Linked DNA regions of Schizosaccharomyces pombe. The gene in region 3 interacts genetically with the main gene of each other region. Each region holds a gene or a part of one and is shown on either strand. Other genes may lie near its edges.

Region 1 (10,453 bases), on a different chromosome or scaffold from region 3:
TCATAGGCGGTATTGAAAGGAGTATTCGTGTTCCCATAATTTGCCTCATTGGTAATATCTAGGAATTGATATTCTTCGCATATTTTACACAACCTTTCGCATGCATTATTCTCACTCATAAGTCGAAATGCCCGCTGAAATTCACTCTGAAGTCCTTTGACGCTAGGATTGTCAGCAGTATTTGCAAGGTTTCGAGCAGTATTGAAAGGCTCTTCGACACATAAAGAATTGTTCACCTCCATGGCCCAACCTTTTTCCTGTTTGTTCAGTACAGTTCCCGATCTCACAGATACCACTGAGTCCAGATAATTAAACGAAAATCCATAGTAGTAAAAAAAATCTATTAAAAGTCTCCCTAAAGATGTTTTGTTGAGAGTTGCTTTCTCCTTGAACCCGACAATGTCATCAACAAACATTTTATTATCATCATTACTCATTAAATCGAGCATTGCAGGTAGGATTGGGGGATTTCTCGTTTGCAAAAAATTTACCAGCATACAAGAAATTGTATAAGATGTAATTGTTCCGCTGCCTGCAGCATCACATAGGGCCCTTTGCTTTGCCCAATACTTGATAATTAATCCTAGTGGCCGTACTCGCGGGTCGATTGAGACAAAGAGACGAAGCATCTTAGTATTAATCTTTGCCACGTCGTTATTAATATTTAAGTCACAGTGTATGTCAAACTGTGGATCCCAAATTTTAACTATAGGGACTCGTGCTCTTGAAACGCAGACAATTTGTTTCATGCCATCTGTTTCCTGGTTAGCTTAATTAAAATAGACATACTGATAACTTACAAGAGTAAAGTAATTGAGCCAATTGACATGTTGAGTTTAAGTATTTGCTACCATTGGTGATAATGCACACATCAACGTCCGACTGTTGTATAGCCAAATTGTTCTCAGTGGATCCGAATACAAAGAGATCCAATTTAGCATCTTTAATTTCGGTACTTAAAATAGTGCGCAGCTTGTCAACAAATTGTTGACGCCTGGATACTTCTTCATTAGAAGGTTTTAGTCGCATATATAATTTCCAGCACTCGTTAGTCAGTTCAGCATCCACTGTTTCATTTATTTGGTCATTTCTATGTTCAGATTCTTGTAGTTGTACTAGATTAGCATCAAAACGTCTTTTTTTTTGTTGCATTTGTCCTTCAAAAGGGCAACAAGTAAATGTCAATAACTCCATATTATCCAAAATTCTGATAACCTCTGTAGGTGGTTTTAAAAATAATTGAGCATCAATGCTATTGTGCAAAAATTAAAGTGTGTAGAGTTGTGTGCTTGGAATATATTCCTCATCACATAAAGTATAAACAAATGAGCCCTTTGTTTACATGACCAACTTTATGCTCATAAACAAATATAGTTATTTATAGTAAGTTAAGCCTCCTAAATAAAAATATTAACTTAAAAAATATTAAATGATGATTTATTAACGCCTAATAACCTAAGCCGAATTTGCAAATAATGGTATGTGAATCTACATTTCAATTTATTATAGCAACCAAGTGAACCGCTCCAAGTTCAAATAATCAGCTCCAGCTTAAAATAAATCCTCATAATACTTTACTAGAGTAATAAAACATAGATAAATATACTTTTCAAAAGTGCAGAGCTACGTAAGTTTTGGTCTAAAAACAAAATTTAAAAAGAAAAATTTCATTTCTTCAACTAGTTCTTGAAGAACAGTTAATATACGTTAACATTCATGAAACATAACAGGCATATAATAGCAAATCGATATGATACAAACAAAGGGACATAAGGAATTTTAAGAACAAACTTCTTTGGTCTTACGCTGTAAATGTTTAGTGCACCATCTACCATTAGAATCTCTTTCAATGATACAAGTAGGCCAAAATAAGGGATCTGGTCGAACACTGACTATACTAGTAGCACCACGACGGTTCATTTGCTTAACCTGAACAAAAGTATCAGTAGGCTTCTCTAACAACATATGGTAGAAATCGTCAAAAGTGTTAATATCGTGACCATCTACTGCAACTATCCAATGCGCTGCACGAAGCATATTCAAAGCTGGCGAGCCATATAATATGCTGCCGACGTAAACCCCTTCAGGTCCAGGAAGATCAACATCAGGCTCAACTTGCTCGAAAACGCTTGAATGCGTTGGGTGAATGATAGCACCCATCCAGCAAATTGCACGAGAACTAAAAGTGGGATATTCGGGATACAAGGGAATTGTTATTTCCATTTCAATTCCATCGCGAAGGATGACCGCCTTTATTTCACTCTCGGTTTCAAACTCATGAAGGTCCGATAGACGAGTAATCATCTTTCCATTAACCTCCAACAGAATATCACCGACTCCAAGAGACGTTTTGTGAAGTAGTGGGCGCAAATGAGAAATCACATATAAAGGTCGAGGGATGGTACCGTTTTCTCTGGATTTCATATAAAATTCAGACGATCTGGTTTGGGATAATCCAAGTGTAGAAGCACCTGCCAAAGTGATATGTGACCATTCCACCCCAGCTGTTGTTGGCACATGCTGCGCACGAGCTGACGGTGGTAACTTAAGCCTTTCGAGAACGGGAAGAATGTAAGACATTGAAAGACCATATTTAGTGGTATAGTCTTTTCCACCAACATCTTGGTGAACAACAGATATCCAGAGTGCTACTATTTCGCGATCGTCGCCTACTTCTCGAAACACTAAACCTCCAGTAGAAGCTAAGGAATCCATTAAAGAAATGACTTCGCAATTTACGTACCGGAATCTAGGTGGAGAAGAGCGTTCTGTTTCAACAACAGATACACTTCGCACTGTTGTTTTCTTTGTCAGCAATTGCAAATCTTCGTCGAGAGCAGCCAGCGTGCATTCATCTCCTGTCCGCAGGAAATCAGCGACGAAGTTAAGTTGCACAGAGTTACTGGGCAAGTAATCGCACGAGACTACAGCAATTCTATTGTCCAAAAAAGTTAAATGACCCATGGCGCTCATCGACTGGAAGGTCAAGCGAATATCGCAAATATCAACAGGTATAACAGAACGATCGACAACTATTAATGGTGGCACTACAGAAACAATTACTCCGGTACCACTGTATAGCTTAGTAGAGCTGAATCCGTTGATGCTATATGGCATTCGACAATGAACCAGAACCAATGCATTTTGAATCGCTTCCATACTTTTGGATCCCTCTTGTGGTCTCGGAATTACACTAGGTCGGCGAGAAATAGACGGCTGAGGAGGAGGGAGACTTTGTCTGTCCCATGTCCCTTTTTCATCATTCCTTGAAAAGATGCTAGCCAGGAAAAAGTGTCTATCAACTGTCACTATCGTGAATTCTTCTTCATATTTACCAAGGACTCTAAAGTGCATAGGCACTCTGGCATTATCCGTCAACTGGACCAAAACATCAATGAAAGCATCCAAAGTTGGAGTGGGTTTATTGGCAAGTCTGGTAACTAAAAAATCGCGGGTTCCAGAGGACCAATTGAGCATACCAGAAGAAGCCACATATGTACCAGAATTTAAAGAAAATTGGTATGAACGAGCAAGCTGATAAGACAAATCGTGAAGCACCGCGCCTCCGACTTCCAAGAAGCGTGAAGGCGTTACGTTATGCAAGTCTTGTACAGTCAGTTGAAACGTTAAAAAACCACGTTTAGGACGATAAACATGCAGCTCAATCGTTTTACCGACCATTTCATCTAAAACTTCGAATAAAGAGACAAAATCAACAATGTATGTAGACTTATGAGAGTCTGTTTTGAAAGCAATTAATATATCGCCAGGTTCCAAAGCCTTAGAGACTTCAGAATTTCTGAGAACTCGCGAAACAACCAAAAGACCAGTACTACTAGGAACACGGGTTCTACAATCGTATTCAAATTCCCTTGGAAGGCCAATGCGACTGAGTTCGTCGTATGACCAATGTAAAAACTCGGTAAGAAGAGTACCACGAGTAATAGGAGTATTGTTCTCAATACATCGCAAAGCTCGAACAACCCGGTCCAGAGGAAGATAAAAAGAAGAGGCACTGCTGTTGGATCCTCCCGAGTTTAAAGCAACGGCGGCACCAGAGATGTCAAGAACAGGACTGCCAGAGCTGCCTCCACTAGTTCCACTAGCTGCCTGATAATAAAATGTATTAAAATCGTTGTAGTTGTCAATTCCGTAGTTTGGAGCTGGACGATCAAGACGAGCCAAAGTGGAGCTTAAAATAGACAATTTTTCACCAGCATCGTTACCAATAATTCGAATATCTATACCTACCTTGGCTGATTCAGGGGAAAGTGAAATTTCAGTGACATCGTGGAATCGAATGGAAGATGGATCATAACGAAAGAAGCCAAAGTCATGAACAGGATCTCTGTAGATGGGATAAATATCAATTTCTTCATAGTTTATGAAAGAGGCACGAGCTGAAATGGGTCCTGGAGAAACAACGTGTCTGTTGGATAAGATAAGACCAAGTGTTTTATTCACGACAAAGCCAGTTGCGCAAAAACTACCGGCGCTTTCAGTATCAAAAGAGCGTAATGCGGAGCCTTTAATGGAAACGATACTTCGAACAACATTTTTAATCGTATTATCCCATGTATGGTGAATCTCTTTGGTATCTAGATAACGTTCTTCATCTGTATTGCGAATGGGAAATGGTTCGCTAACATTGTATAAACCTTCAGCAATAACATTCTGTTGCTGGGGCGTATTACATTCAGAAGTAATTTTATCAGGACGAAATTTGGGTAGGAAAATGTGATTAGGCCGATAATCGGAGGAAACTGGAGTCATGATGAAAGGTAGAAACCGACAAGAATGTAAACAAAAGCACAAGATACAGAAATTTATAACAAACACAAAGAAAAAGCGGTTGAACACTAGGTATACTTTTGAATCTCGATAGTGTTTAACAGGCTTTGCTTTGTAAACTGGACAAGCTTTAATTGGAAGAATAAACGAATTTAAATAACAAATGAAAGTTTATAATAACTTTTGGGCAACACAAGCAAAGTTCTAAACGAGCCGCGAAATACTAATTATCAAGGCCAAATAAAACTCGAAAAGTCAATCAAGTACTGACACTTGTAAGCCTTTTTTGTAGGATAAATGGAGAACACTATATAGCGACAAAGATCTGTTTTCAGTTATACAAACATACAACAATGTCTGTTTGCAAGGAATTACAAATCAATTGCGCAATGGCTATCAGATGGATATATGAAGGAATTCCTATATAGAAATCTCAGTATCCTTAATTTGACTACTCAAGCAATAAGATAATTTACCTGAAACAGTTATAATATATTTAGTAAATCAAATATTTTGACAATCTGCTTCACTTTACTGACACACCAATGGCAAGATAACGATAATAATTGCAGACGGTGGCTTGAATAGTTTGCAGAAATCCTTTCCAATTCAGAGATAAGAAAAGATTAGCCTTTATATCTTTTTTTTTAATTAATCAAACGAAAATGACAGGAGTAACGACAAGTAGAAACAAAATACACACACAAAAACGAAACAATAAAATAAGTAATCAAGTGTATGAATGAGAAATTTTAAATCTTGTAAGCCGTAAAAAAAACGAAAAGATTTTAAAAATTCCCAAACTCCACTGTATGGACAAAAACGAAGCGAAAAGAGAATGGGATTTGCAAGAATAGTTTTGATAAGGTCAGTAGCAATCGGGGAATGCTATGATAATAAGCGTAGAACAATGATCTCCCTTTCTTTTCTTTTGCAGATAAGCTCGATCCTGAATTTTAAACTACGCAGTTAAAAGTAATATTTGCGATATGATGTCTAAATTTCGCTATTGGAAGATTCTTGTTTCATTCGTTTTGCCCATCGGCAACGCGGGCTTTCAATTCAATATATATGTAGGTGAACGATGTTTGCTGTAATAGTTAACTTCACTAGCGTCTCATACCACCAGCAGACAAAGTGCGTGGCAAGCCGTTTGATCAACAATTCTATTGCTCGATGATTTTTAAGAGTGATGTCAAAGTCCGAGTGCGGCAAAAATAAGACAGCGTAGCTTTAGAAGTGATTTCGATGAATTTCACTCAAACGGAGGATTGCGACGAACAAGGAGCCGCAATGTCGTTTGTTCAAAATCGGATTTCTTGGTTCCGTGACATTTTGCAAATAAGCTAGAATCCATCTTCATACGACTGTGTCGTATTGAATGGAAATGGAAAACTGAAAGAATGGGTTCGAAATGGAAAACGACATTCTGAGGATGTTTGACAGAATCGGTTATGTGAACCGAAAGTGAATGTACGTGGTATTAGCGTAGAATTGTTTGAAAACTAAAATGGTGTTACTTTTTGAAAACTGTTTCGTTTGTAGTAGGTTGATGGTTGAACAAGACAAAACAAAGATTATTAAGGTAGCTTTAGATTCAGGGATGTTTATTATGACAGTGTTTGATTTGGGTAGGAGATTGACAGTTTAAGTATGGAAATAGGCATTCAATAGCATATTTGAATTGAATCACTAATGAACTCGACTCGCATTACTTTAACATTTTGTCATTTGTTGTGTAGAAGAGAGTTTGAGAAGACAAATCAAAGATGATCAAAGTTGGTGTTATTAAATAAATATCATGCCGAAAATACAGCTGAAATAAATATTATATACGATTTTAACGATGTGGTGCTAGATGAGGCTGAAAATCTGGAGGTAAAATCATGTATGAAATATATATTTCTCCACAATTAACAGGTATCTTGAAGCCGTGCAGGGTAAAAGTAGTAAGGCTGTCGGTCAACACGCCAAGGAATGCATTGTGCCATTGAATGACCATATTTTAATATTAGAAGGTTGTATTGATAGTATACGGAATGAAAATTAAATTATTAGGAAGAAACGGGAGTCGAGGTTATCGCAGTAAGCATATTCTCAAAATATACAATTTCGAGCTCTAAACAAACAATGATTGGCTTCCATGTATTGGAGTCAGCAATCTGTCTCGCCGACTCCAAAGAGTGAAGAGTCGAGGTCAAGAGTGATAATACACTAGTGCGCTGAACGTCAGTTAATGGAGGCAAAGCAGCTTCTGATAAAGAAGTAGGCCCCAGTATTGAGATTAGTTTTGTTTCGACAGCTTGGATTTGATGGATCAAACGTTGGAAGAATTGCATTCCTGGAAGTGCTTGCCCGACCATTAGTCGCAAAAGATCTTCTCTTTTCTTCAATACTTCCATCCGTTTTTCAAGGGAAGATACATTAGCATGTGCATCATACTGCTCCTGCAGAGTTAAAAGGCGATCTTCCATACTGAGTGCCTTTTTCTTTTCTAGATTATCATAAGTCTGGAGTCGTTTTACAAGGGTGTTTCGTTGGTTCGTTACAATCGCCAACTTTTCCTGCAAAATTTGAATTTCCTCATCTAAATGTGTAATGCTTGTCTTTAGATTCGATATTTCTTCCGCTTTGTGCACCTCTGCCAGACTTGCTTTGGTCGATTCAATTTGGGATAAAATGTCTGTCTGCGAGTCCCAACGGCTCTTCAATTTCCTTTGCTGGCTCCTATATAAATCAGCGTTTTCTTGACAAGCTTGACACCATAACTGCAACTGCTCAGCGATGGCTTTTCGAATCCTGGTCAAGTCGTTGGGCTGTTTAGATTGAAACAACACTTCAGCCAGCTCATCCAAAAGCGATTGTATTTTCCTTTCCACTTTTGGAAAGGAGCCACTTTCTTCCATATTGTCAAAAAGCTCTAAGCTACGCGTTCTTGTCGATAAGCCAGAAGAAGAGGTACCTTCATCATTCAGCATCCCTTCATTAGACTTGTTTGGGAATTCGTCTAGCGGAATATATTCTTGTTTCATTTTAAAAAGGTATAATACACGAAAAATCTAGTAAATGCGTAAATTTGGTAAGTTCAACCCTTTTTTCTTCATAACAGAAAATTATATCGCATTCAACATCACTAGTGTAAGTTTTTCGCTTTTTTTATATACGAATCTTTATTTTTTCAGTCTTCCTATCTTTTCAAGAAACCAATCCGTTCAAAATCACACTGTAAAATGTATTTCTTAACTATCAGTGTGTGCAAATGTCTATGTGCTATAGTGGAACAATGTTGAATAGTCGCGAACTTGTGTTTATGAAGCCAGTAGACCTTTAATAACAATTCAGACTTTCTCTATCTCAAATATTTTTTTTAGTCAACTAAAATTGCGTATTAGGAGCGCCACTACTATCATGAACTTCAGTCCAAATATTAAACTAAACTTACAACATCTTAGAGTTTTTGGCACCAAAAAAACTTTTGAATATCCTGTTGTGTCTATTATTTCAATTTTTTATTGTATTTCTATATGATTCAGTATATTTGTAGCAAGGCTTTTGATAACGTAAATATACGTCGCCTTTCATACACACATCCGAGTAAAAGAAAAAGCGACAACCAAAAGACGGGGAGACCAATAAATCTAGTAAAATCAAAGAAAAGAAATAATGAAGGTATATCCTTTCGCAAAGATTAAATGCAATGTTGAAATCCACGTGAACCGACCTTTAAATAACGCCAGGTTCCAGCCATGACTTAACTGACTCCATATATATATTAAAATAAGAAACGTTTAAAGATATGGATTATAAAAATAAGAAATACTCAAACGTGTTTGATTTGTAATAATAATCGACAAACACCAATAGGATTTTAGAGACTAGAAAGTTGAGCCCGACGATCAGAAACGAATAGTATCAAAAAATAGGAAGAGGAAAAGGTTCAAAAGTAGATTCTAATTGGAAAGCTTGCAGTCTAAACGATAAGTAAAATAAAAGAGGAAGAATGTACAAACATTAAAAATCACTATGATTATACTAAACTTCATTACTCAAGAACTCGAGATGGAGCCTCTAATGGATGCAACTGTGCTAAATAAGTAATTGCCCTAAGAACGATGTTAGTAAAAAAGAAAAACAATATGGATGCATAAGAACACCACAAATGCACTAACCATAATAAATAGCAACAAGAAAAAGTAAGAATTAATGACATCTGCCAAGTACTAATTGAGAGTTAATAAAACTTTTGTTAAAGGAAGGAGTATGAAAATATAATACAAGCAACTGATCCCAATTCCAGATTGTCCATGTGCAGCTGAAGACAAGGCCTAAACAGCGCTACCTTGATTGGTTGCAAGAAAGACAATCACATATACTTTTCCATATCTCTAAACGAAAATGAAACGAAGTAAAAACAAGCTACTGATCATAACACAAGACTTTAAATGGGAACATAATTGCTATACCTCGATATATAGATGATTCACTCCAATCAGTAGCAAACTTCTTACCTAGTATTATTTCCCTTGGGCGAGACATAGTAAGAAACTACACTCATTAAGGCCGTCAAAAGGCCGACAAGTAAAACAACGAGACCACCCATTAGAATGCAAATTACCTACTTTCAATAAATGTAACTTGCACGTTAATGGTAAATTATCGAATGTGCGTCTCACATGAACATATACTGCAAATTAGTGACACCACGCATAGATAACGTAAACATAAATCAGGTAACAATAATCATACAAAGGCATTAAAAAAATGCTTAACATAGCCTTCCAGTTATATGAATACGATCCTTGAATAAAAAAATGCTCTTTAATGCTAGCGGACATCATAAAGACACCCTTCCTCCATTTTTTCTTATGAATTCTATTTATGGTAACCCTCAATCCATTACGTTAAACTAAATATTTAACAAATTTACATTACCGTGTTTACTATAACGCATCAGTGTCAGGCTCCCAAAAATTCTGTACTTTCCAGATTCTTTGAATACTATTATGGACTGGTTAGTTTCAAAAGAGATTGTATTAATTATTTTCTTAACTTCAAGTAGTACTCGGAAATCATTCTTCTCACTAGTTTATAAAACCACCGAGCACTTATGCAGAGAGTAAACTAACACATCCAATAATTACATCCACATGCTTAATGCTTTCTTATTGTACTTAACTTTCTTTTCATAACATAAACTTTTTAAATCACCAATTACACTTTTAAAATTCGTCTGATTACCTGCGCCGTAGAAGCGATGAACATAAAATGCTTTGTGTAGCTTCATAGTTATATCCTTTTGTGTAATATTATAATATTTTTACATTGCAAAAATGCAAAATAATAAAAAGAATTGAAAAATAAATAATTTCACCAGTAGTAAATGTCATCTATTTTTTCCTAATGAAATCAAAAATGACATTAAATTGAGAAATCATACATTTAACGTAAAAGAATTATTAATGCTAAGCTGATGAGAGCTTAAACATAGTTTCGCCAACTATTCATCAGTTTGCTATCACTAAGGTAAACATGAAGAGAAGCAAGAGTAATCAACGTTCATTGTTGCATTCATGAGCAACAAGCAAAAGGAATCTCATTATATAAATTCCCTTTTTCTTTTTTCTCTCTTTTGAAACTTATAAACTCGGTAAAAATCGGTTTC
Region 2 (11,403 bases), on a different chromosome or scaffold from region 3:
CTTCAGCTGCCTTAGCCTTTTTCTTAGCGGCTTGTTCAACTCCCTTTTTCGCCTTCTTTAAAGCGTTGGTGGTTATAGGCTCAAACTCTTCACTGCCATTTTTTTTGACAAAGATCGTACAGTTGGCATCAGTTTCCAAAGCATGGATTGCAGTTTTAAATGGTGATGTTTGACTTCCGTTGCCAGTTTCATCATTACCGGAAGCTTCGTCTATATAAAAAACAACGTCTGATTTTATTTTCATATCAGAAACTTTTGATTCCAATCCCGCCATTTTTAAAAGGACAGTTTGAAGTTAGTGAAAATGTTAAATATCAAATAACCGGCCTTGGATAACTTATAGTCTCGTTAGAGTGTCTTATCTGCAAATCTACAACCCAGAACATTTGCTAAAGCGCGTTAATTTTTTTTTTGGCTAATGATTCCAAAATTTCGGCTAGTTGCTAATATTTGAAATATTAAGTACTTTTATTTAATTGTAAATTTACATTTCATTGTATCACATTAGTATGGTTATTGCTAATTCCCCAGTCGATTTGACATAGAGCAATTAATTGTCAACCCAGTGTGTATTCAATAGACTCCTCAAATAAGTTAACTACGAAAACTTCTTGTCAATAAGATATTGCTTCATTCCATATTGACTTATGGCTTCTCACGTTCTTAAATTAGTAAATCCAATGGGTAGAAAAAAAGTAAATTAGCTAAGGTTGTAATATTGTCAAAAGAAAAATTTACTTTGTGAAATATCTTTTTAAATTACAAGTGGATATTTTACATGTAGGGCAAGGTTAAAGAACACACTTCTCCATAAGTTAATTGCTAGCATAGTCTGTAGGAATAACCAAAATCGTCTTTTTCTGTTTTTGTTCTCGCTATACAGCCAAGCATGTGCTGACTTTTGTATATCGAGAGATGATTTTTTTTCGTAGTATTCCAATTAGACCTGTTGACATGATACAGTATGGCATGGTATAAATGTTCAATTCACGTATATCAATAAGCTTGCAAAATTCAGGTAGTAGTGATATTTACTTTACTTTTATCGCCATACCTATTGTAGACTGTCCTCAAATCACAACACTTCAATACACAAGTGCATTCTTTTACGCACCAGCATTTCCTTTTTACAACGCTTTTAATTTTAATTATACAAATGTCATAGTCAACAACGGCTTTAAACGGTTTGAACGACAAGAAATGGAGCAGCAGAGGAAAGCAAATAGCGGTTTAGTATAAAAGAAAAATGCAAAAATTTATGATTGTTACAAACAGCGTAATATTTTCATCAGTATGTTAAACCAAAGTATCATTAACAGGTATAGAGTTTCCAAAGTAAGCACGCATAACAATTTTATCCTAAAGAATAGCAGTTATGACCTGCTAGCACACTTCAGTAACAAATTCTGCTAATAATGCGAATTATTAATTGATAAAAAAAATCCGTATCTCAGTTTCATGAGACTAAAGAGAAAAGCGTAAAAGAATGAAATGTAAACGAATGGTACATGTAAAGGCATTCCAAAGATCTTTTGAATGATAAATTTAGTGTGTTACAATAAACTAATTTGAGTAGCAAAATATAAAACACATACTACCTTTGAAAAGCCAGTAATGAAGAAAATTAGGGGTCCATCAAAATACCTCAAAAGTCATATTTTAATGAAATTGAGTATAGCAAAAAGATGTAATATGAATGTCAGAATTAGCAATCGTAATCATCAAACCTAAAACAACATAGTTCTACCCTTTGATAAATAAAAGAAATCTAAAGACAACGGAAGGCGTAGAAAAAAAAAGAAGACAGAGAAAACTCCTTCTACTATGAGGAAACTAATTTTGCAATTACAACCCAGAGTTGTAAATAGTCGGCAATCGCGACAAACCTAAGGACGATCACTCAAATGGGGTGCTAAATTATTTTCTTCAGAATCCCAATTTAAATAACGATGATCGGCAAGCTTTCTTGGACGGATAAAATGCCTTAATGTAAAAACGGTACCTAACACAACACAAACAGCACTGACAACAATGTAAGCTATTCCAAGGAATGGATTCTTTCCTCCAAGCACCGATCTCGTCGTAAGAACCAGAGATTTGGTACCGTCAAAGCTCTTAACAGGAAAAAACAACCCAATTTTTATTTCGTATGTTCCTGGAAAAATATCGTCGTTATCGTTCCGCATAGCCAACTTACTGAAAGTAGGCAGACCAGCTGTACGCATCCAAACCTGTAAATTTTCCATAGTTGACAAATCTGGCATGTTTGATTCAGTATAACCATCAGGATAACGCAAAACCCAATTGGGAGGAGGTGCAACATCATCAGGACTGTAGTTTGTCTTCAAAAATCGTCTTTTATCTGAAGCCCAAGCTATATTTTTGGTAGAAAAAGTGTAAACACTATTATCATCCAGCAGTCTCAGTGACGAAAAAGTGTCATTGAAAAGAGAATTTGCAATCAAACCACATGGATAATATGGTTTGTCATCTTCGTTAACTTCCAAAGGAAAACAATTGCCTCCTTTAACTTCGTCAGCAGTTAAAGCCACTCCCTGTAGTTGTTTTTCATCTACACTTTTAGCATACCGTCGATGATTTTGAAAAAAATTTGTCAAACGGTAATATATGAAAATAGGCGCCTTTAAAACAGATGGGACTGTGAATCTTATGATGCAGTAGTTAACGTCCATATCTAGATCTTTATCGAGAATTTTCTCCAGTTTCCAGTAGGTTGATTCTTTGTCAAATCCAATAGTTCCTGATTGATCAAATGAAGCTGTGTACTTTTTGGAAGGGACGGCAGAGAATTCATCGTAAGAAGCCAGAGTCTCACAATCCGTATAATCAACAACTAGCTCTTGTACGATAGAGCTAGCATAAAGTAATCCTCCTCCTAATGGACCAAATATAATTCCTAACACAAAAAAAAGTGGAAGCACGATTTTAGGGGTTAACAATGGCTGCCAAGACTTGATCCTTTGTTGGCGAAAGGAAGTATTAGGAGGTGCTCTAGTTTTTGCTACAGGCCCATTTGATGCAGTGTCTGAAACATTTTCATTTAATGCTTCCGGCATAATTCTCAAAGGTCTTGAATTGATCGCTTTTTAAAAGCGAGCCCGTTAAAGTGATTAAAAACAATTTAAAAGTAATATTTTGGTGGTTTCTAGATGAAAATTATTGATTTTTTGTTTTAAAATAGGTCAAAAGGCAATAAAACAGCCTATAATGGATTAAAAAAGAGGATATTTGAAAGCCACGGATTTTTCTACGTTTGGCATTTAGTAAACACATAATCTGCAACGTACATATACAAAATTGCGTTAAATAATTACTCCGTATTCCTAATAGTGCTATAATTGACATTGCGAATATGGTACATTTCGCTATTCAAATTTAAAAAAAAATTCTATACAAAGCCAGTGAAGCAGTCATCTTTAAAAGGAAGAGCTATTATAAATACCTTCTTTAAAAATAGGGAAGAACATTTGTTGGTTAATGTATAGTAGTTATATTTCGGGACTATAAAATTATGATGTTCAATTAAAGGAAGTTTCAAAATTTTATAGACGATGGTTTTTCTGCTACAAATAATATTCAAAGTGATTCGTCGTAAAAATGTATACCTGATCGACTTGATTCTGTAGAGATAAGAAAAGAAAGTGTATTAATTATCTATTCTCTGTGGTTAACAAAAGAGGAGAAGTAAAATGCTTGAAATATATTTACGAGCTGGATAGGAAAATGTGCGCACTTTACCGGTAAAAATTGCCCAGCTAAAGAAACAAACAGTATTTGAAAATGACCACCTGCGTGGAGTCTAGTAAATTGCAAGAAAAGAAAAAAAGATTGGTGCCACACTAAGCTCATTTTTTCGAGACAACGTATCTAATGATACAGTATATGTAACTCTAATTATCATATACCTCTTTTGATGTTTGTTTTATGTTTTTTTAACTACCTGATTGAAAACCTCGGATGGTAGTAAATAATGCCTCAAAGTCGAAATCTCATTAGGCAATTAACTGGGATTCAACACATTTATTTAAATTAACATAAGTAAGCCTGGACATTGAAACATAGTGTTATTAATTAACGTACAAAAAATGTGAATGATTATGGCTCCTTCCAATATTTATTTCATGCCTTTAAAAATGAATTTCCGAGCTAAAATGAAAGTTGTTTGATATCAAGCAATTGTTAAAGATTTTTTCATTTAAGTAGTTGTTCGGAATAATTTGGTAGCATTCAAAAGTTTTGCTTCCCATTGCTTTCAGCTCCAAATCCTAACATTATCTTTTGATCCTATTCATTATATTAATATTCACATTTATTCTTTTTGATTAGACTTGTTTATTATCATTTTTTGGCTGTTTACCATGGTATTTATAATGATGAAGCTATGTTACTAATGGATTTTTGTAAGATCACATGAAGAACGGCAGGTTGAAATTGATACCAAGCAGTAAGGAACAATTCTCTCACCCATAAATTGGATTGATTATTTTGTTATCTGTCCCATTTAAGGAATGTTCATTTATTATCATGGCGCTCGCGTCATTGAAATATACTCGAAATTAAGCGAAAAAATCGATCGGCGATAATCATTGTTTACTATCAATGGCACAAAATTCCAAAATTGTATATATTGCAAGGTGCCCTGTACGAGTAGTTTCAAAAAAATTTAATATTCCAAAAAAACGCCTAAAAGACTGTGTTGTTGGAAGTTTTTAAATGTGCAAACAATGGTACCAATAAAAAAAATTAGCACAGCTTGCGACTTGTGCAGGCAAAGAAAACTTCGGTGTAACGGCGAATTGCCAAAATGCCAGAATTGTGTAGTGTACTCAGAAACGTGCAAGTATAATAAAAGAAAAAGAGTAAAGAAGCCAAACGTAGACAAGGATGACCCACATATCGTCGTCGGGCAGCCGCCTGTAAAGAAGTCAACAGCTGGTATTACTCGAGAGTACACCGAAATGATTGAACTGAGAAATCATATTATAACGTTAAGCAAAAGATCTGTTAATATGGAATCTCGGATTGACGATATGCTAAATTTGCTCAACTACGATCTGTCAGAAAAGAGAGAAACGTCGAACGAGATACCATCGCTTGTACAGCAAATTCAAAACTGCGGTTTTCTAATAGATGAAAAAATGAGAAGGTATCCAGGGATTTTCCAAATTCATCCCAAGGATTACACCATGAATGATCTGTTTCCTCAAAGTTTCCCTACATGGATTAGTGTATATCGCAATGTACCAGAAAAAGCATGGGCCAATCGGTGTGTTGAGTGGTATTTTCGCTATATAAATTCATGTTGGCCTTTATTTGATTTAGAAAATTTTATGGACCTTTTTGATAACTTTTATTCCGATAAAGAAAAAACAAAAGGTGCTTGGGTTGTCTCCTTCTATGCCATTATGGCTTTAGCGGTGTCCCGTAGCAAAAGAAAAGATAAAGAAAAAATATCAAAATCGCTTTTCTCTACAAGTTGGTTTTTGGTCCAGAAACCTGGCTTTTTTCTTACAGCGCGCCTGGATAAAATCCAAGCTTTAACAATTATGATACAATTTTGTGCACATTTATCTTTATATAATCTTTGCAAAGTTTTGTGCGGTCAAATGTGCCTAATGGTTAAGGATTTGGATCTTCACAAAGAAGCTACGAATCCTAATGTCGACATTGAAGTTGACGAGCTAAATAGACGGGTTTTTTGGACATGTTATATATTCGAAACAACTACCTCTCTGATATTTGGAACACCGCCGGAATTGGGTGATCTAGAAATTGATTGCCAACTTCCATCCATGGATGTTTTGCCTCGGTTTACAGAGTCAAGTCAAGGTGGTATAGTATTTTGTTCAGAAATCCAGTTAACCATTATTAAAAACGAAATAAGGAAAAAAATATACAAGTGTTTAGCTTCGGCAAGTGAAGAGGTCTATAAGGAAGCCGTATTAAGCATTCGAGGAAAACTGATTGTTTGGGAAAGGAACTTGCCAGACGAGCTGAAACAGTACTACGATGTTATTAAATTAAATGGGACAATTCCAAAGAATGTTGATTTCGAAAATCAACATATATTTACTGCTTGTGTTGAAATTTACTTATCGTATTGTATTACTCAACTATACTTTTACGATCCTCTTACAAATTATGAAACATGCCTAGAAATTGCACGGAAAGCTGCAGATGCCATAAGAAGCTACTTCATGGTTATTGAACCAATTTTTAAAAAGATTTGTTACTTATGGTTGTTTCTCTATTGTCCTTTTACACCTTTTCAAATCCTTTTTTCCAATATCCTAAAAATGGAAAAAGGTACCAGTGATGAAAAAATCGAGGACTTGGATCGAATGTATTCACTCTATCGGTTTTTTGTCGAAATGAAGGAGATTAACGGAGAGTTTGCTGACAAATTATCTCGCGTTGCTTTGGATTGTATTGATGCTGCAGAACATTATTTAGAACTTAAATCTTCTGTCGGTTCCAACATTTTTGAACTGGAGAGTTTGTTGGTGTAATCTTCTTTCTTTGAATACTTATTATAAATATTACTTTTCTACATTTCGAGAATCGTCAAAAGGATTTTCGCATGTACTCAGTAAGGTTTTAAAAAAAATGAACCAACTACAAAGAGTTGTTTCAACGTAAACAATAAAAAAAATTCAGCATATGCAGCCATTGAGTATTTGCTTACAACAGAAGCAATTTATTTATTAGTGGTAGATTAAAACTTTTATTTGTTTCATATTGAAAAGAAAATGAACCAAGCTCATATATTCCTTATTGAAATATTTCAAGGCGCACACTATTCTCTGTGTTTTTTTTTTTCATATCACCATTTTAATCGATTGCAAATGTAATCAAAAACTTTTGTCAACATTTTCCAATACTTGTATTTAAACACTTTTGCTTCAAAGACGATCACTAGTTATCTTAGATCCGTGGATCATCATTCCGACTTCCACGGCTGGGGCATAGTAAGATGACAAAAATTAAAGTCTCGTTTCTTTAACCTCTCCATAGTTGACCCGTGGAACGGAATTTGCTCCAAATCGGAAATCTCAAAAAATGCTCATATCTGTTCCTATTGTATCCAAATGGGACCGTAGTCAGTAGACGTGCATATCCATGGATTGATCATGATTTCCCACCGCCCAAAGTGAAATATGACAGTAATCAATGAATGATTAAACTGGCCAAAGAAGTTTATAAAGGCTTCCTTGTCATATCACTACTTCAATTTTTCTTTTGAGTCTATCGCATATTTTTGACAATATGATCCGGAATAGTGAGGATTTTAGCCATCATTTGTCGAGAGAAAGCAAGGCTCGTGAGAAAGGCCCTTTTCAAATGTTAGGAAGAATTAAAAGTAGTACAGGGATTGACGCTATATCTTTTTCCTCAGGTTTACCTCATCCTAACAAGTTTGCTATCCGTGAGCTTTCTATCAAGTTTCCTCAACTTGGTTGCTTTAAGGAGGAAAATGGGACATACGCCAAAGAGGTTAATGTAACATTTAACATAAAAGCTGATCCTTCTGAGGGTCTTTTAAATTTCTCTCAGTCCTTGCAGTATGGCCAATGCCAAGGAATTTCTGAATTGGTGGGATTTATAAAGGAACACATTCGGCGGATTCATGCTCCCCGATACGAAAACTGGGATATTAAGATGAGTAATGGTAATACAAGTGGTTTGGAATATTGTTTACGACTGCTAGTCAATTATGGGGATCATGTCTTGACAGAAAAGTACACTTATCCTGCTGCCATCACCGCAATGCGAGCCCTAGGTGTTCAATTTGTATCTGTTGATATGGATTCGGAAGGTATGCTTCCTGAAAGTCTTGAAGAAATTATGAGAGACTGGGATATATCTCTGGGACCTAGACCTCATGTCTTGTACACAGTTCCTACTGGTCAAAATCCTACTGGTTCTACTTTGTCATTAAGTCGGCGCAAAAAGCTTTTAGCATTAGCAAGGAAATACGATATCATCATCGTTGAAGATGAGCCATACTATTTTCTACAAATGGAAGATTATAACGGAAGTTTAAACCCTGCACAGCAAAAATGTGATGGGTCAACGTTTTTAAAGAGTTTGGTCCCTTCATTGCTAAGTTTAGACACAGAAGGTCGAGTTTTGCGACTTGATTCGTTCTCTAAACTGATTGCTCCAGGAACCCGCCTTGGCTATATTACTGGAAATTCAATGTTTATTGATCATATTACACGGATTGCAGAAGTATGCACGGAAAGCCCGTCTGGTATTTGCCAATCTGTATTGTATGCAATGCTGCATAATTGGGGTCAAGAGGGCTTTTGTGCATGGTTACAGGAGCTGCAATATTCTTATACTGTTCGTCGAAACGCATTCCTTAATGTAGCAAACAAGTATCTACCAAATTCTGTTTGTATTTATCACGTACCAAGAGCTGGATTATTCTTGTGGGTTGAGTTAAACTTAAATCATTACCGCTTTTCGGATACGAAAAAGTCAGTTTCCCAAATTGAAATGGAAATATTCCTAGCGCTTGTAGAAAAAGGTGTAAAAACTGTTTGTGGTCAGTTTTTTATGGCAAATCCAGAACGTAGTACTAAGATCTTTTTCCGTTTCGCATATTCAATTGCTGACTTTGAGGACTTTGAGGAGGGAATTAAGCGATTTACATCAGTCATAAATGAGCATTTTAATGTCGAAAGCAGAGTACGAATCTGCCCTTGAATCATCTATAAAAGTCAAAGAAATATTGTTTCCTTGGAAATATATGAATTTTGAAAGTGCAGATTATTTTAAATTGTGTTCTACTTAATAATCACTTTTAGGAAGGTTTCAGATTTTGAGACAAATATGTTTATAAAAAGTATGCCGGCCTTGCACTTAACACTGTTTAAAAATTTGTCAAGAGGAACTGACCCTGTGATTTTTACTATTTGTACTTAAATATTATGTGCTTCGTGATCAGTGTTTGCATTTTTACTTAGATCGTCAATAGTCTGACCAAGTTGAAATATTTCTTTTAAATTTACGTTAAGCATTTTGACAACAGCTCAAGATCCTAATGTAGCTAATTCTTTCATTAGTGTGTCGAAAGTAATGCTGGTTAGCACGAGTAGGTTTTTCAAATGCATAGCTCGTATAATAAATTATTTCAACAATGTGCAAATGTATTATGAAAAATTCCATAACTAATGAGAAATGGTAATATATTACAACTCAATTTTCTACTTTAATTTGTTCCCTATTATTAGAGTAATTTGCTCTGAATAAAGATATGCAACTTAACTTGAGATGACTTAACTTTTTAAACAATAAAGAATGTATTATTTATTCATTATTGTAAAAATTAGGCATGTGTCTGGGAATTTCATTGCTAGCGAACATCTGTTTTTGATTTTGTAAGTGGATGCTTCCACACCTCACTTCGAAACAGCCTTTTGGAAGAAATTTCATCAAAATGGTGTTGAATACTTGAATTTGCTATGTAAAGTAAAGAAAAAGAAAAGAAAAATATGAAACTCAACTTCTAGGTGGCTAATTTCAATTTCGGTATTCGTCTACAAAAATTCCGACTCTATTGATCATTTGGCAAAGCGTTTTCCAAACTAACTATCTAGTATTTGGTAAAATAACTTGCTATTTAGCAGTGGATCAACTTTCAATAAGAGCTTGATTGTTGAGTACTTGCTATCCACGGATGTTATTTTGACCCATATTCGTATAGTGTTATCTAAACTAGAGAAAAAAGCTAAAATGATAAGTGCGAATATCTGAGAAGAAAAAGTCATTTCTTCACGCTATTATATAAGTAAAGGAAAATTAGACCATCATTTGTAGACTGAAAATAATATTGAATAAAAGCATCTTGGCACTATGGCAGAAAAATCAAGCAAAAAACTATGGGGAGGTAGATTTTCAGGAGCTACTGATCCACTGATGGCAGAATTCAACAAATCCATCTATAGTGGAAAGGAAATGTGCGAAGAAGATGTTATTGGTTCCATGGCGTACGCAAAAGCCTTGTGCCAGAAAAATGTGATATCTGAAGAAGAGCTGAATAGCATCCTAAAAGGATTGGAACAAATTCAAAGAGAATGGAATTCGGGTCAATTCGTTTTGGAACCATCCGACGAAGATGTTCACACAGCAAACGAGCGCCGATTAACTGAGATAATCGGTGATGTTGCTGGCAAGCTACATACTGGCAGAAGTCGTAATGACCAAGTTACCACCGATTTGCGTTTATGGCTATGCAGAAAAATCAAAGAGGTTGAAGTCTATGTCATTAACTTGCTTAAAGTTTTTACCAACAGAGCTGAGATGGAGATTGATGTAATAATGTCAGGTTATACGCATTTACAAAGGGCTCAGCCTGTTCGTTGGTCCCATTTTCTCATGTCTCACGCCTTGCCTTTATTAGGTGACCTTGGCAGACTTCGTCAGCTGTATACTCGTGTAAGTCAATTACCGCTGGGTGCTGGTGCTTTAGCTGGCAACCCTTTCAACGTCGATCGCGAGTTCCTTCGTAAAGAGCTTGGATTCGAAGGCATTATCATGAATTCCATGAATGCTGTTGGTGATCGTGATTTTGTCATCGAATTTATGTTTTGGGCAGGCATGGTAATGCTTCACATTTCTCGCTTTGCTGAAGATCTTATCATATATTCGAGCTCGGAATTTGGATTCGTCACACTCTCCGATGCGTATTCTACGGGAAGTAGTATTATGCCCCAAAAAAAGAACCCTGATTCTTTAGAGCTACTTCGGGGTAAGAGCGGTCGTGTTTTAGGTGATATGATTGGCCTCATGATAACTGTTAAAGGCACACCTACAACCTATAACAAAGATTTGCAAGAAGACAAGGAACCACTATTTGATGCCTTTAAGACCGTCTCTGACTCTTTGCAAATTTTGACTGGCGTTGTCTCAACCCTTACCATCAATCCTACAAAGATTGCCGAAAGCTTGACCCCCGATTTACTAGCTACCGATTTGGCTGAGTATCTTGTTCGTAAAGGTCTTCCATTTCGCCAAACTCATCATATTTCGGGATCCGCAGTTCGCATGGCTGAAGAGAGAAACACTACTCTCGACAAGTTATCAGTTTCTGATTTGCAATCATTGCATCCTTTATTTGATGAAGACGTTTCAAAAGTCTTTAATTACGAAGAAAGTGTTGAAAAAAGATGTTCAATTGGTGGTACTGCTAAGCATTGTGTTCAAGAACAAATCGAGCATATACGATCAGCAATTCTTTAAAAACTATGTCTTTCTTTTTAATTTAATAAACAGGTTTTCTATAATTGTCTATAAATAAAATACCTTTTCTCTCTGTTAGTTTTTTTGTACATTTAGTAAAATGGGTTCTTCATGCATATTTAATTAACGCAATTA
Region 3 (10,108 bases):
GTTTCTCAATGGCATTCAAAAAAAACCTTGAAAGTACATGAATAGCGTTTTGTTCAGTCTTGTGGCTAGATAGTTACAAAGAGTAAATTAATATAGTTACTAACTCTAATATGTTCTACATGTAATTTATTTTTGTTTATGTTTAAACATAGAAAAGGACGAATAGTGGAATGGAATCTTATTTAATTTATATTTCATTTGCCTACTACGCAAAATCTCTTAATAAAAATTTATGGTATCGCAGCAGACTGCTAAGTTGGCTAAAGTTTTTTAAGATTACTCATTATATCAATTAACATATGCTAAACCGCGCTATAATCATTTGTGCTATAATAAGATAAATCATTTGGAAATGAATGTTGACAGTTTTTTATTTAACTTTCAGTAATTTTATGCACTGCAGAACCATTCAATTGAAGCTTTATTACTCAGTAGTAAATAAGCTATAATTTATTATAATACTATGCAATATCATGGTTATATACGAGAGCAGTGTTATATAACGCCAAGAGTTATCTGTACAACTGTATATACGCCAAGACAAACTTACGGTAGTCTACCATATTCTTTAAGTTTGTTTTACGCACTTCATACCATTACCAAAAGTTAACATCGTTGTAAATCGTTATGTAATTTTAATCGTAACTGTAGTCGTCACTATTTTATGAAGTATGCGGAATACCTGTGATCATAATATCATGTTCGCTAGAACCAAATAGATTTCATGAATGAAGCCTTCGGAAGCTCGTGAACATGCCATAAGGAAGATTAAGGAGTATCTAGAAAGGCGACATAAACAACAGTTTAAGGCTTTGTTTGGATGTCTCACGATCAATATATACTTAAAGATATTCACGCTCATTTCTACCCCAGATCTGTGTAATTGCCGCCTTGTTTGTAGAAAATTTCAACAATTATGTGATTACAATAGTATATATGTGAAAAAACTACTTCTTATGAATGCTTGGGATGTTACACTTTCTCGAAAGCTTTATTATGAAAGTCAAGATGGGATGTCTCAAGCAAATATGTCTTCCAACACCAGCAAAGGCTTTCATTTACAAAGTAGTGATAAAAAGTATGCTGACTCTGATCGGCCTAAGCTGTCCTCCTCGTCACTTCTTTCCTTACCCGACCAAAAGATCCCTTTTCCTGTTGATTACTCAACAGTGCAAGGGAAGCAAGTAGTTTTGACAGTTTTGGATTGTGTGAGTCAAAGAGTTGAATTTGCAAGATTGGATTACATAAAGGTTTGGAGAGCATTGGCTCCTATCTACCGAAATCTGGCTTATGCTAGCAATACTATTGACCCTATTGCATTTTCTGCTTTTCGGACGCCAGAGGAGCAATCGAAAGTTCTGAAGTATTTAATTAGGTTTGGAAATTCTTATCCCTATGGAACTTATCGACAGGCGATGCAAAATGCCATTCTTGACATGGCTTCATTATTTGAGCAAGCTTGTCTTGATGAATTTGAATTAGGTCTTCATTCTCGTAATCTTGATCTTCTTCGTAAGTTTTCTCATGTTCTTCATGATTTTAGTGGTCCAAATGCATACGTGAGCATGTATCTAGCAAAGCAAACTGATTTTGTTAGGTCTTTCTTCCATTTTGATCCGTATAGTTTGTTTATTTCCAATAATCTAGAAGAAATTCACATTAATTGGAACATCTTGGAGTCTGTTGTTAACGACACTATCAAGCTTTTAGAGTCGGAATCCAAATTCTCTGAAGCTACTTTACCTGAGCCTGAGCTTGTCCAGGTTCCTTATGCTAAAGACATTCTTGGAAATTCACTAAAAGACTATGTAATATCAATATGCGAGCATATTGGTGAAGAAGAGACCGAATTGTTCCTTGTTTTTATTTCTGGATTTTATGGCCTATGCAAGAAGTTTTTTTCGATTCCTAATGGACCGGCTTTAGTGGATACAATTTTTCAACCGCAAATTGATATTTTCATTTCTCAGGAGTTACATTACTTTAAAACTGTTGGCTGGTCGCTGGTTGATCAGTGGGACCAAAAGCTGGAAGAAAAAGAAGACGCTACAGAATGCTTTTTTTACAAAAATGTCAGCCAGAATACTGCCAAAAATAATTTTTTGGAAACCTTTAAAAACGTAATGCTGCTTCCAGTCTCTCTTTTTACAATACCGTCAGAAAACAATAGTGCATCTAATTTGGCTGAGAAAGCGATAGAGCAGAAAGAAGAAGAAGATCCAGAACTTTCAAAGTTGGATGCTGCCCGATTTGTTCCTGCGAATATATATGTTTCTAAGGACCGATTGAAACATCTCCCTACTACCGAATTAGCCGCGCAAGCTGCTGTATTGGACTCAAAACTTGAAGGTATCAGCACCATGTTTAGTTTGGAATTAGCTTTGAAAATCGTCCATCTTTGCAAAGTTAGTTTAGCTCGTGCTAAAGTATTTATGGGTACCTCGGTTCCTCAAGATGATGATATTAAAGGGCTTTCGAAGGACTTATTCGTTCAGCTTCTGCGGGAGTTAGGTCAAGGCCACTTAAAGCATGGGTTTGATCGAGCAATCGAGCATCTCTCTTCTTTTGATCCTCGACGCGACTTTTCTAGTAATACTGTAGAGCCAGTGGTGAAATTTTTGGAGCTTATCAATGTTGGTGATATGATTCAGCAGATGATGGATAGCTTTTTTAACGAAGAAATGAGTCCTATATGTGTGAAAGATGATATGTTTGACCCTGCAATTGCAGAAAAAAAAAAATTCGAGCAGCTTTTGGATGAACGGGCAGCTTTCGGATTACACAAAGGCATTAATGTTCTAATTGAGCATGCCGATTTTTTGCTGGAAACTAAAACACCAATGAATTTATTTAGTGACCAAACTATAGGTTCCATAACGAATACTATAGAGCCTACAGCTGCTGCCAAAAATGTGGTTCAATTTTTAGGTTTCCACATGCGTATTCTAGTTGGAAGGGCCGATCATGAAATCCTTGATGTTTTTTATAAGGAAGTCGGAATGAGACTTTTCGATTCCTTAACACGTTACATAAAATCTCATAAATTCAGTGTCGATGGCGGGCTAAAGTTACTCAGGTGAGATTTTATTCCTTATGTTTAAGAATTATAAAACTGACTCATTTTAGCGATTGTAATTTGTATTATGAATTCATTCACTCTCTTCATCAAAGCAGCCTTTTACCATATTTTAAGACATTGAAGGAAATTGCCCATTTATTTATTATTGATGGAAAAAACGCCGAAGAGATTGGAAAACTGGCTACCGATACTTCTCGATTTTCTAGCGCATTTCATACCGAAGAGGTTTACGAAATCCTTCACAGTCGTATTGACTGGTTAAACATCAAATACGAAGTAGATAAAGTAATCCATGGACTGGCATGCTGTATAATGTAAATATTTTTTATTTTTTGTTCATATCCTTTTTTTGTTATTACCATACACTTTAAAAATGCATCTTGCTTTCTGCTTTAGGCTATAATGTTTGTTTAACAAATTCGTTTTTTGGACCTTTTTTAGGTTTGTGTCTATTATAATATCCTCTAAAAGTCAATCAATTTTAATGTCATAATAAATCATAAATGCAGTAGTTATTAAGGATAAAAGCCAAAACCATTTTATTAACCTAAACCGTAAAAGAAAACCAAATTCCTGAAATTAGTTCTAAATTTTTTAACAACAACTATGCTACCGAAAGCGTAAATATCAGTGTGACCATATACGGACTGCTTTATCAGCGCCTCCAGAAGCGACACGCTGTCCATCCGGAGACCAATCCACCGCAAAGACTTGATCTTCATGACCTGGTAAATCAAACTTCATCTTTTTGGATCGTACATCCCACACCTTTAGCGTCGTATCTTGAGAAGAACTGACCAACAATCGTGAATCTGTAGACCAGGCACATTGATAAACCGCAGCAACATGACCACGCAAAGTTGCAAGGAATTTACCGGTTTTTCCATCCCATAGCCTAACTGAGCTATCGAAACTAGCTGTAGCAATACACCGTCCATCAGGAGAAAATGAAGCATGGTTTACTACCTTTTGATGTCCATGCATTTTTGTGATGGGCTTCGTTGATTTCTGTGGATCCCATAATATTAATTGCAAATCATCACTGGCAGAAACCAATCTCTCTCCTGACTGTTTTAAACAAGCCTCATAACGCTCTTTGGCCTTACGACGCTCATCAGAAAAGCTTTTTGGTTTAAAATCAGTATGATCATATGCACCCGAACGCAAGACATGCTCGGTGGACAAGGAGAGATGGTTCACACGAGCGGCATGACCTTTTAGAATATGCAAGCATTTTCCCTTCAAAATTAGTAAGTAAATAATCCCTAAGTACAATTTCCTTCACTTACATCTTTAGCATCCCAAATCCGTATGGTTTTATCATATGAGGAGGAATAAATCCAGTTTTGACCGCCCCAACGGACACAAGTAATTGGCGCGGTATGACCCGAGAGAGTAAAAAGCAACGTCCTTAATTTGACATTCCAAATACGAACTGTATTGTCTTTTGATCCAGAAGCTAGTAAATAGGGGCCACTGTCAGGAGCAAGATGCAAAGGTTGCCAACATAGTGCCATAATAGGTTTCGTATGGCGTCGTAGAGCATCACCTATAGGGCTCCCCTTTTTGGGATCCCAGAAACGAATCTAAAAATATTAGTGACTTGCGACAAAAAAATCATAAATCCATCAAAAAGTTACTCACCGTATTATCCATGCTTCCTGTAGCTATGATAGAGGCATCAGGGGCCCAAGCGACGCAAGACACCCAGTTAGTGTGACCCTTCATGGTTGCAATAGGGGTTTGCGTATCACAATCCCAGAGCCTTGCCGTGAAATCTCCACTTCCAGTAACTAGCCTCGAGCTTGTGCTAGGCGAAAATTGGGCAGATATAATGGTACCATCATGGCCATTCATTGATGCAGTACAACGAGTAACAGCACGGACACGAAATACAGCTTGAGGAGTGTAGAGTAACGTTAAGTGATCCTCAGTTTTCATAAGTCCATTGTGAAATACAGAAGTGTATAAATTATCTTGAATTTCGATAGTTTCATCTTCATGATGAAGAGCAAAATTATACGGAACAGGATCGTCGGACTGTGAGGATTATGTTAGCACATTTACAGAAAAAAAACTTTCATTCTTACATTCTCTAATAATTGGTTCAACAAGGCTTCCAATTGCCTAACAGAACTATTTCCAGGAACTAAAAGTGATGCCAGTTCATTGCTATCATCTGACGCCCGAAACTGAACGTTAACGAGCGGGAATTTTTCAGGAATTTCTATAGTAGTAGGATTTAAGCTCTCCTTTTTTTGACGTTTACTTTTAGGAGGCAGTAAAGTCGCCATTTTAGAAGGATTTAAAAAAGGAAGGATTTGGTAGTGGTAGTAATGAAAAATACTTACACTTAGTATTCTTAAAAGAGCTGTGATCAGATAAATTTTATCGCGCCAATGATGCATCGCGATAATTTTAACAACGATCTTCAGCGAATAGAAAAACAATTATAGCTAATTAAGCTAGATTTAAGCGAGGTTATAAAAAATTAGTTTCTGCATGTCGAACAAGAGAAACAAGATCTTAGAGTTTTTATAAAATAAATTTTAGGTAATTCTTTTATGCTTGATCAAATTAACTAGAAGAATTATTGAAAATTTTCAGTATCTCAAGAAATGGTTGGGACGACGAGGTAGGTGATATTTTGTTCATTGGCTTGGGAACCTTAGTGATAAAATAAAAGCTAAAAACTAAAATAATAGTTTTGAGATTGTAATATTTTAAATCACAGGATAAAGCACCTATCAAAAAAAAAAAAGCTTTACTAACTAAAGTTGATGCTTGCATGAAGATTTGTTACAACATGCACATAGAGCTGTTTTGGGGAAGCATTGGAGTTGACCGATGATAAACATCAGACTTGAAATCTACGCCGGTTTGCACCGTTGATGCTGGGTTGGATGCTAAGCTATTACGAATTACAAATACACGGATACATTATCAGTATATGAAGGAAATGGACTATATTATCTATTAATACAAAACCCGATGAAAGGCTTTTTTTGCTTCCAGATGCAAGAGAGTTCATTTCGCTGGGAATGAAGATGAATAATTTTAAAGTAAATCATCGCAACAAAATAGAAGGAAAATGCTCCTCACGAAAATGAGTGGATACAAAAACTTTTATGCTGAATTAGCGGGAAACTCCAACCAATCTCTTAAATAAAAAGAAAAACATATAAAAATCCAAAGTATAGATTTTATGGAAAAAATCTAGAAAAGCATATCGAGTAAACAAGTTCAAGCAAGGGTATACGTGAGAAAACGAGAATATATTAAGTTAAAATACAAGCATCCCGAAAGTACTTTCAAGGACTTCAATTTTTTAACGGTATGTTTTCAACTAGCTCGTGATCTAAACTACACGAGGAGGAAATCTGAATGTTGAATTGGCGAAATTAGGTGCCGAAGAAGTATTCGTTAAAGTGGTGGGAATCCCAGCATTAGATGGAGTAGGACTAGGATGGGCACCTGGAAGATCTCTGAATTGAATCTGTGGGGTAGATGAATTGTTGTGCCATAAAACGCTACCGGTTGAGCCTAAACCGTATAGCTGGTTGAGCATCCTGGAATCAATGGAACCATCAAAATACCTCGACCTTATTTCGAAAAATATTCTCGCGGTTAGCAAGGCATCACTTCCAGCCTGATGTTGGGGTCCTATACGATGTATTTGTAAATCGTCAGCAATGTCTTGAAGACCTTTAGAGTTGTTCAACACAGATTTCATTATGTATTTTATGTCGTAATTTTTCGGAAAATAAATACAAAGAATTTTATAAAACTCCTCATATTCAGCGGGTAAAGGGATTTGTGTCATGGCTTTTAATAAATAGGCAAAGTCATATCCACTATGAAACGTTATCCACGTGACCTCCTCTTGCAAAACTAATCCACTACCAATGAGGAGCTCTGCAAAATCTGCAGGCTCTATGCCAACCTCTTGATGTTTCTTAAAGTCAATGCCACTTTTTGTGAGTAACTCTATGCTTTCCGGAGCGTACATATCGTCTTGTAGATTGAATGTAAAATTAAATTGCCATGTACATGCCTCGACAGGGGCATTTCCTTCCTCGTCACTTAAAGCAAGCCCAATTTGAATGATTTTTAATGAATCTACGTTTGCCCGTAAAGTTTGATAGTGGTAGTCATCACTACTTTTAAAGACGCCAAGAGGTCTAGCAACTACTCCTGGAAATTCTGTATCCATAGAAACAACTGGATACCTTTCTATTAGACTCATTATAAGATTCATCTCTTGTTGCAAATTCGTGGACCAAACGTCCCGAATTGGTGATATTTGGGAGCTGATTCCATCCACTCCTAATGCAGGATAAGAAAAATTCGAATTCATCGCTGTCATTACGTTTTTTAAACAGCAAAGCTATAATGTAAACCAACCTGGAAAAGTAGGTTTTCGTTTGGTGTAAGTAGACTTGGATTGTTGAAGAATCCGCTGAACATAGATGCGTTAATTGTGAATACTGTAATATACCACAATTTCCTTATATGAATTCTTCTAATCACAAGAGAAAACATTGATGATGAAACTAAAAGTTAGTCATAGAAGGGTCAACTATTAAGTTAGGTATTAACTAACCTACAAGTGAAACTAAAGTTATTTTAATGGAACAATACTGTCATATGTTTGTTTGGAATATTTATTAAATCAAAGACTTTCTGTCGGCTTACCAAGCTACTTTGGATAACGATTTGAACTTGGCAAAAAAATATGCAATCTGACTTTTGTTCTTTATTATAAACTTCTCGTATCTAAAAAATATTTTTTTAAGTAAATTTATGCCATTAGTAAGTCGACAGAATAATTTTAAAGCTGCAACGATTAATTCGTTCAAGCTCATTTATTAAGGGAGAGTAGCAGCAAGAAAGCTAAAGTATGAGTCACTTTGTAGAGTGTTGAAATGTTATCTTTAGTAAGTACTAAGTCCAGACCTCAGTGAGAGATTTCAAAAATACTATTTTCTGTAATTGTATCTTAATGTCAGCAATCGAATTGATGAGCCTAAACTTAAGCAATCTCATCTAAATTATTAAGATTTGATCTCTTATTTGGCAACATTATAACTGAAAGATTTTACTTTTCCCTTCAAACAACTCAAAAGAATTGTTGAGTCATGGCTGTCTTTAGTTAGTGTTAGTATCGCAAGAGGAAGACATGCTCCTTCAGCAACGATCTATCTTCTTTTCAAAATATGTGTATTATTAAAAACATAATAAATTTGCAGTATTTGGAATTCAAAATTTATTCTTTACTTTATAAGCCCAGCTTTGAATTCTTCAATAAGCAACATATTCGTTTTTTGTATGTTAAATAAGGTTAATTTTAAACGAGGATACATGTACCACTAAATTTTAACAAAATCCTATTAAAAATTAAATTTGTTTTTTCCCTAACTTTTAAATTACTTGTTTGCAGGTATTTCAGTTTAAATAGACATCTTAAAGGAGTATTTGAGTTCTTTTTTCTGACTGTATTCAATTAGAATTGGATTTCCTTATGGCTTAATGCCGCTTGAAAGATATGGAAATATGACATTAACAAATTTATACAGAAGCCATTTGACGTTCAATTCCTTATTCTATTTTCCAGTAGTAGTATTGCATTGAATTACCAGCACTAGAATTTCCCTTAAAATTTGTTATATTTACTTTTCTCCTTAATATTGATGGATGTTCAAATGTATGATTTTTCACCTTCGCGCTACCTATTTATAAATTTTTTCTTCACACTTTGATATTTTATTGTCAGTTAGTATTAATATGAGCCTAATGCATCTTGGCCCGGATTTATTTCGACGCAGGGATTTTGAAGGCAATAAATATAATCATTAACACTTTAGGTAAATGAATCTAAATTCTCGTAAATTTTTTTTTTGTTTAAATCAAATTTAATTTTCGGCCACATTTTAATAACAACATTTAATTTAATTTAACAGGGAACTGTTAAAAAGCCTTGATTATTGAACCAATTCAATATTTCCTTCAAAAATTAACAAATATTATATTTCTAAAATTTAAGCTACTCGAAGACTTTGACAAATACTGATTTAAACCTTACTGTAAGCAGTTGTCAATGCAGCTCTTACATTAAAAAAATTATTTAATAAAAATTGCTACACAATTAGGGTTCTTTTCCGATTCCTGCATTTTTACGGATCTCTTCTTTCGTATGTTTATCCAAGTTTGGTTCGAGTAACCTTCCAAAGTTTATAGAGTTTTAAGAAAAAGCGGTACTCATTTTAGAAAATTATTTTAGTTTAAAAATTTTTAAGGCTTGGAGCTGGCTTTTTCATACTTGTTATTCCTACCTGATGAATCATTCAAATAATTGTGCGTCAAATATTTAGTCGTAAAAATATTCATATTTAATGAAACAGTATTCAGAAAAAGTTGATTTAAAAACTAGTAATATTAAAAAGACATGAAAACAAACCATTTTTATATTTATATTTGTTGAAAAGTGTATGTCTCAAGAGTTACTATTAGTGTTCAGTATCATTAGATACATATAGCACTGGAAAGATCAGATCTTACCCAATACCAATTACACGCCAAATAGGCCAATCGAGGGTTCGTGTATTTTGGTTAAATACAAAAATTAAAAGTTTTTCAATAAATCTGTGATTCTTGTATTCACCTTGGCGTCGTGAAGACAAGCAATTGTTGATCAGAAGACAAGGTTTCTTCATCCAAGTTACTATAATTGTTGGATCGCCTTTGAATGATTATTAGTTTAACCAAGTTGAAAAAATAAACTAATTAAATAACAAAACAAAAAATTTATATTATTTTGCCCTATATATATTTTTTTCTTTAATCAGGAGTCTGAAATATGAGAAAATTTACTCCGAAGTTCGTCCCACGAAGAAAAAATGGGCCTGTTGAAGAAAAAGATGTGGATGAGCGTGTTAAGATAGAATTTGACGTCGAATCTCAAAAAAAATGGAAAGCTTCAAGGCCGAAACCAGAAATAAAGCTTACTGCCTCAGGACCTTTTGCATTAGG

What was found.
Region 1: mutations in caf1 (region 3) and SPOM_SPBC1685.04 together harm fitness more than expected from each alone (negative genetic interaction), as found in Schizosaccharomyces pombe (one large-scale study listed by BioGRID).
Region 2: mutations in caf1 (region 3) and mug89 together harm fitness more than expected from each alone (negative genetic interaction), as found in Schizosaccharomyces pombe (one large-scale study listed by BioGRID).

What each region holds. Positions count from the first base shown.
Region 1 is NC_003423.3:500,243-510,695, reverse strand, and holds SPOM_SPBC1685.04 (uncharacterized protein), read right to left. Parts: upstream 8,033-10,453; 5' UTR 7,824-8,032; coding exon 6,846-7,823; 3' UTR 6,503-6,845; downstream 1-6,502. Other genes in the region: poly(A) polymerase Cid11, read right to left, coding at 1-754, 801-1,194; htr11 (serine protease), read right to left, coding at 1,780-4,773; vma9 (V-type ATPase V0 subunit e), read right to left, coding at 8,834-8,894, 8,961-9,011, 9,300-9,391.
Region 2 is NC_003423.3:303,415-314,817, forward strand, and holds mug89 (phospholipid-translocating ATPase complex Lem3 family subunit), read right to left. Parts: upstream 3,284-11,403; 5' UTR 3,078-3,283; coding exon 1,887-3,077; 3' UTR 501-1,886; downstream 1-500. Other genes in the region: asparagine--tRNA (Asn) ligase Nrs1, read right to left, coding at 1-274; SPOM_SPBC1773.12 (transcription factor), read left to right, coding at 4,746-6,530; SPOM_SPBC1773.13 (aromatic aminotransferase), read left to right, coding at 7,288-8,733; arg7 (argininosuccinate lyase), read left to right, coding at 9,883-11,268.
Region 3 is NC_003421.2:1,959,402-1,969,509, forward strand, and holds caf1 (CCR4-Not complex CAF1 family ribonuclease subunit 7/8), read right to left. Parts: upstream 7,454-10,108; 5' UTR 7,446-7,453; coding exon 6,438-7,445; 3' UTR 6,029-6,437; downstream 1-6,028. Other genes in the region: exocyst complex subunit Exo5-like, F-box protein Pof6, read left to right, coding at 729-3,076, 3,127-3,397; ribosome biogenesis protein Rsa4, read right to left, coding at 3,707-4,318, 4,369-4,665, 4,724-5,119, 5,170-5,373; oligosaccharyltransferase complex zeta subunit Ost5, read right to left, coding at 7,454-7,632, 7,783-7,845, 7,902-7,944; DNA-directed RNA polymerase III complex subunit Rpc53, read left to right, coding at 9,936-10,108. UniProt on the Schizosaccharomyces pombe protein: Acts as the catalytic component of the CCR4-NOT core complex, which in the nucleus seems to be a general transcription factor, and in the cytoplasm the major mRNA deadenylase involved in mRNA turnover.